2 linked regions of the Tribolium castaneum genome follow. The protein of the gene in region 1 purifies or fractionates together with the protein of each later gene. This does not show direct contact. Links are inferred from orthologs where the notes say so. Each region holds a gene or a part of one and is shown in the gene's direction. Other genes may lie near its edges. The genes, in order: Flo2 and EMC5.

Region 1 (3,835 bases):
TCTAACAGTATTTTTCAGCCAATTAGGCGATTTTTTGGTCTATTTTTGTGTAAATATTGCAAAAAGTTGCGTTTTCGGAAAAAAAACTTTCAAAAATCTTCAACGCCGCGAAATAATGCCGCTTTCAAACAGTTTTGTGATTTTTCACACTTCCGCAAAAACTTTAACTTTTAATTTTAAAAAAGTCAAAAAAAACACAATTCTTGATCCAGTTCTATGATTTTTTAAGTAATTTTTGGCGAAATTTCGCTTAATTCTAAATAATTGAATTTTGAATGAAAAACATAATTTATAATAATTAATATTAATAATAATTTAATAATATAAATAAATATATAAATTATTATAGTAATATTATAATATATAAAATTAAAAATTTAATAATAATAATAATAATTTATTGATTTTTAAGGCCATTTCAACGAAATTCTGCAAAAAAATTTGCGATTTTATCTCAATAAAAGGCCGAAACTATAAAAATTACTTTATTTTTGAATGATTTTAAAAATTTCCGGTTAATTATTTATAAAATTTTATTAAACATCTGCGTTTTTTCTAATGAAAATGGGCTAAAATATACCAAAAAACCAAAAGAATTTAGTTTTCGATCCAATTTAATGATTTTTTTGGTTGATTTTTGAGAAATTTTGCGAAATAATTGCGTCTCTATAAAAAAAAATTCGGTGGGAAATTATGTAAATTTTAAATATTTATTTTTAGTGTGGAAATTAACTTAGCTTTGCCTCCACAAAAAAATTTCACGTCTAGAATAGAAAAAATTCACTATTCTTATTTTGTTGCACAAAACACTATTGACCTCTAGGCTTATTTTCAACGAAATTCCTCAAAATAGACGCATTTCTAATGAAAACAAAGGTTAAAAAAGGAAAAAAATATTGAAATTTTTAACTCATGTTTAGTAACTTTTCGTTCCGTTTTGACAAAATCTCGCTTAAGCGGTTAAAAGAAGCGAAAATAACACCATTTTTGACATAATTATGCTATTTTTCGGTAAAATTTCGACAGAATTTCGACCAAGAAAAAAAACGAAATTGTGCAAAAAATTGCGATTTTATCTAGATAAAAGGTCGAAAATATAAAAATTGCATCATTTTTGAATAATTTTAAAAAATTTTGGTTTATTGTTTTTAAAATCTTACTAAATAACTGCGTAATTTAATGAAAATGGGCTAAAATATCCCAAAAATCAAAACAATTTACTTTTTGAACTAATTCAGTGATTTTTGAAAAATTTTGCGAAATAATTTCAACTTTATAAAACAAAGTAAGCCGCTTGAAATATAACATTTTATAAAATTCGGTAGGAGATTTTGTAAGTTTTAAATATTTATTTGAGTGGGAAAATTAACTTAGTTTTGCTTTCACAAAAATTTTCACGTCTAGAAAGGAAAAAAATTCACTATTCCTATTTTGTTGCACAAAAATCTATTGACCTCTGGGCTTATTTTCAATGAAGTTCCTCAAAATAGACGCATTTCTAATGAAACAAAGCGTTTAAAAATGGAAAAAATATTGAAATTTTTAACTCATGTTTAGTAACTTTTTGTTCCGTTTTGACAAAGTCTGACTTAAGTCGTAAAAACAAGGAAAAATAACACTATTTTCGACATAATTATGCTATTTTTGGCAAAATTTTGGTTAAGAAAAAAAACGGCGAGTTTTTTCAAAATAAAAAATATTAAAATTTTTAATTCATGTTTAATAGTTAATCTTTCCGTTTTCACAAAATCTCCCTTAAGCCTTTAAAAGAAGCAAAATTTCGACAAAACTTTGATCAAGAAAAAAAACGGCGTTTTGAAGTGTTTTTGTGTCAATAAAAAATATTGAAATTTTTAACTCATGTTAATTTAGTAACTTTTCGTTCCGTTTTCACAAAATCTCGCTTAAGCGGTTAAAAGAAGCAAAAATAACACCATTTTCGACATAATTTTGCTATTTTTCGGCAAAATTTCGACTAAGAAAAAAAAACAACGGCGTTTTGAAGTGTTTTTTCAACGAAAGGTCGTAAGCATTATTAGCTAACACCGATAGTTCTCAAGAGTTATTGACCTATTTTTCAAAGTCTAAGACTGATAAATGTTTTGAGTATTTTTTTCAACAGAAATTTTTTTATCTTTGTAGACGAATCTGCAACTCCAACTATTTACTCAGGTTTCGCTGTCTGGCTTCATTTTAATTCATTTAGTTACAATTTTTGAATATCGATGAAAACTTAATATAATTAATAAATTACAAGTATAAGCATGTTCTACTTTTTATGAATATCTCCACTTGAAAATGACCGAAATCCCTAATTTAATTAAATCAGTAATTAATTTTGTAAAATTGTGGGAATGTATCACAAGCTGTGACCAGATTTATTGGTGCAAGTGGGTTTCGGAATGAAAAATACACATGTCCCGGTATACATACTTTATTTTTTCTATTAACAGAGTCACGATAAACATAAAATAATACTATCAAAATCGAGGCCAACCCTTTCATTGCTTCCGCTCTAATAATTCCACAAGTCCCACAATATGCCAACAATGACAATATTAAATTTTTGCAGGAGGATGCTGCGGTTCGACCAAGCGCGTGACGATCGTAGGCGGCTGGGCATGGGCCTGGTGGTTGGTGACGGACGTCCAGCGTCTGTCCCTCGAAGTGATGACGTTAAATCCCATGTGCGGAAACGTGGAAACTGCTCAGGGGGTTCCCCTAACGGTCACAGGAGTGGCCCAGTGCAAGATAATGAAAGCTGATGAACTCCTCTACACCGCTTCGGAGCAGTTTCTCGGGAAATCAGTCAAGGAGATCAAAGCGACGATTCTCCAGACGCTGGAAGGGCACTTGCGTGCCATTTTAGGCAAGTGTTCTCGAAAAACCGAGATAAACACATTTGTTAAAAAACGATAAAAATTCCATTGATCTCAATTGGTCAATGAACGAAACCAAGGAAAAGCGATTACGTCGCGGCTGAACTTGACCAAGGCCCACTCGATTCTCTGATATTTCTGACAATTTTTCGACCAGATTTTCGTTTAATTACGTGAAGAAATGTGCAGTTGTTTATTTAACTGCATCTTTTATTATTAACAATAATTGTCGCATTATTATTATGCAGTTAGTCGTTACGTCTTGTAAATCCTTGACTCTAAATCTTCCAATTTTGACGATAGTGGGGAGCTAATATAAAACTTAATAAGTTTATCCTGTGACAGTTCTACTGATTCTTTTGCAAACTTTGAATTTTGCAAGTGCCATGTCGATGGTATGGATGGGTGCTTTTAACGTTTCCATGACCGTTGGACTCACCTATGCGGTTGTTAAAGGGTTCGTTTCAATTAGTTTATTGACAATTTCTTTGTTTGGCCTTCGTCCACATTTACGTACAATCTAGTTTAATTTTTTTTGCTTTCACCAGTTTAAGTGTAATAAAGTGTCTATTATGGACAATAATTTTCTTTTTGTCATGTTTTCAATTGCAAAACCTGACACAATTGGCGCAAATTCCAACTAAACAAGTTGGGCACGACCTAACGAGTTCACGTTTACGCCTAAGAAGCCAAAAATGTGCGTTTGATAACGTTGGTGAATTGACTGATTTTACCGTAATATCTAATTTGCGAAGGATTGAACTCTAGAATTTAAAAGTTTCCACTTTTTTACTTTTGTAACGGTATGAAGTATAGTAATTTACGGCTTGTCGGGCTGATTATAGGTATTTATGTATTAAGGGCGTATGGACGCTTTTATGGCCTGCAGCCTTATTTATTATTTCTCTATTTTTTTTGCTTATAAACTACAACTATTCGCAAATATAAATAATAAT
Region 2 (2,951 bases), on another chromosome or scaffold:
TCAAAATTGTTATAAATAATTGATTACGGACGGGACACGAACGCGCGTAGTCTAAAATATGTAAAAAAAGCTGTAAATATTTTCGAAAGAATAAAAACATGTAAGAGGTGTCAGACCTATTTAAACATTATAGATTTTTTTTTATATTCATTATATGACCACAAGAGCAAGTGGTCACCCCTACCTTACTTTATTTCGTGGTACAAGCAAAAACAAAGCACTACATAATGCTATGAAAAAAAAAAGAAAATTTTTTGTTAGTTCCTAACTTACCGGCTCCGTTGTCTTTAACCAGCATATTCTCTGACATTGTAATTTTTGACGATTGGCTGGCAGAACGTAGAGAGGAATACAATACGCAACACATCCAAACGATCAAACCGACGATTCCCTCACCATCAAAAGTCATCTCATTGTCTTTTTTCGTACTACCAGCACCCACAATACCCAAAAGACCAGGATTGCAACTAGATTCTAACCCAAAAAAAATATTTTTCAAGTATAAAAAAAACAATTCAATTACCTGGCGAATTTGCAACTGCTGACCAAGTCAAATAAGTTACATAAAGCGAGACAACTGACGACTGGAGAAGACCTGACCGTGGCAACTTATCCTGAACCGCCGGCAAAATCGATATCGCACTTACAATAACCGACAAAATCAAATTGAAGGAAATAAAGAATTTGTTCAGGTCACAACCATCAGACTGGAAAAATTAACAGTTCTCGTGTCCAGTGCGTGGTCGAAATACTTACTTTTGTGAAAAACACAAACAGGAGAACGATTCCAGTGATGGTCAAGGCGTAATTAAGGAACGTGATCGCAAGGAGGGCAAAGTACCACCCCTTGGATTCGGTCTCCTCGTAATTACCGACCCAAGCCTCGGCCCACGAATGCGCAAAATCAATAATCAAAATCAACTGAATCAAAATAAACAGAAAGCCCCCAATCATCCCAAAATACATCCAAGTCTCCCCAAACGACCCTTCGGGGATGAAAAACGCCCCGATTATCCCACCAATGACCAGCAAATACTTCAGCCCCCAAAAACTAAAACCAAGATTCACCACCGGCCGTGAAACAACTCCCGGGACTTACCCGTTCTGGATGCCACTTCTCGGGTCGCGGGACGACTTCACCCGAATCATCATGACGGCCATTAGGACAAAGAAACAAGTTAAAACGAAACAAATTCGGTAAACTGCAAGATAGCCCACGGCATGGTCGCAATTAATCGAGACGGAATTCGGGAGATAGTTGTTCGTGCTGTTTGTACAAAACGGCACTTTTCGCAGGAGGTCCTGCAAACCGGGGGCTAGCATAATGCAGGCGGTTATAGTCCCCAGGAGCAGCATCAGAGCGTACATGATCCGGGACGACGTCGAGTTGCGACAAGAGGGACATGCTGAGCAGCATAGGGAGCAAGCAGTGCTCCCGCAGCAGCAGGCCAGCTACAATCGATCAGTAGGGGGGCACTTCATAAAACAGCAGAGACATACCTGGGCAGCTGAGCACAGGCCTAAGACAGCCCCCATGATGCACCAACTGAATTAAACTGCGATCTTTAACTGTTTTGGCAAATTAAGTGCGTTCTTTGTTTTTCTTCACTTTGACGTTTGAGTGACTTGGGGGATTAGACCACGCGCTAAATTTAAAGTTTTGGCCGTAAAGTGTGCCAAACGGCTCGATTATCAAATTTATGAATTATGCATCAACTACAATACGAAAATTTTGACTAAAACGATAGTTTTTCGTGCCCAAATGTTAAATATAACGTCAAGTTATCAATAATTCACGATAGCAGTGCCAACGTAACAAGGTGTAAAAAACCTAGTCAAGTCTTGACCATTTTATTCAATAAAAATTAAATAATTAAAAATGCCAGCGACCTTTTTGCACCGTTTTGTTCTAAGTATTGGGTTTTTATCACTGTTCCACTCGGCGTATTCGGCAGCCCAACGTGAGTATTTTAACAAAATCGACGTAACCTCAAACTGTTTTTTAGATCGTTCGTATTTGCGTTTAAATGAGCTGGATTTTACGCACTTGCCGCTTGATGTACGTAATTAACGTGTTTCAGACAATATTGTTACATTGCGCAACTTTCAGATTATAATCCAGGCTTTAATTAGCCTTTTTGTTATCATGTACGGAGTAATGAACGTTGCGGGCGATTTCAAGGAAATAAAAGCCTCAGCCGAGCTGGAAAACAAGTCTTGGGAGACATTCCGCAACATTCCTTCGTTTTACACATTCAGTCATCGCGGCAAGTTCCTCGCGTTTCCGCATCAGACAGGGAATAAAAAACACAACTGATTGCAATTATTTATTCGAAATACTTTTGTAGCGTGCATTTGTACAGTTAAAAATAAATAATGCCCTTAGTCTTAATACTTAAAAGAAATGCTGATTTGTTTCAATACAATTTCTTCAACTGCTCGTAAGTTATGAAGAAGATTATATTCCAAGGCCCCATCCTAAACAACGTTGGGACGAATCCTTTGTAAAATGCCCAAAAACCTTCGTTTTTGAATGTCTGGTAGAAACAATTAGCAGTGCTTGTATAAATATGGGCGGGTAAGAGACCACCTGTTTTTAATTTTCTTTGGTTCATTAACCTGGTCTGGAAATTGGCAAAAATTAGCCAAAAACTCATTTAACGTGACAAAGACTTACTCTCACTACATCTATAGGAGTTGAAGCTATCGCGCTTCCTAAACTGGCGAAAAGACTAGAACTGAAACATTTTCTTGTAATTATTGCAATCAAGCTAAAAATTTCCACTTACACAAAATGATTTGCAATATTATCACCGAATGTGTTAATTAGCCGACTTTTGCAAAAGTCGTATACTGGCAACTCAACTGCGGCAATCACTGCAGCTCTTTGAGCGGTGGGACTGACCCCCTTAAAAAAATTATTAAAATACAAGGTACAGAAACAGAAAATT

Evidence for each region.
Region 2: the proteins of Flo2 (region 1) and EMC5 purify together in Homo sapiens (affinity purification with mass spectrometry; 3 studies listed by BioGRID and IntAct, with this or other methods). This does not show direct contact. The link is inferred for Tribolium castaneum from reciprocal best matches to the Homo sapiens genes FLOT2 and MMGT1.

Annotation. Positions count from the first base shown.
Region 1 is NC_087401.1:11,751,337-11,755,171, forward strand, and holds part of Flo2 (flotillin-2), read left to right. Parts: intron 1-2,572; coding exon 2,573-2,869; intron 2,870-3,182; exon of another isoform or gene 3,183-3,320; coding exon of another isoform or gene 3,321-3,336; intron 3,337-3,835. UniProt on the Homo sapiens protein: May act as a scaffolding protein within caveolar membranes, functionally participating in formation of caveolae or caveolae-like vesicles. May be involved in epidermal cell adhesion and epidermal structure and function.
Region 2 is NC_087398.1:4,375,088-4,378,038, reverse strand, and holds EMC5 (ER membrane protein complex subunit 5), read left to right. Parts: upstream 1-1,742; 5' UTR 1,743-1,879; coding exon 1,880-1,961; intron 1,962-2,006; coding exon 2,007-2,059; intron 2,060-2,110; coding exon 2,111-2,317; 3' UTR 2,318-2,405; downstream 2,406-2,951. Other genes in the region: Serinc (probable serine incorporator), read right to left, coding at 274-474, 524-707, 757-1,051, 1,100-1,452, 1,501-1,536; mitochondrial uncoupling protein Bmcp, read right to left, coding at 2,418-2,624, 2,678-2,738, 2,790-2,908. UniProt on the Homo sapiens protein: Part of the endoplasmic reticulum membrane protein complex (EMC) that enables the energy-independent insertion into endoplasmic reticulum membranes of newly synthesized membrane proteins.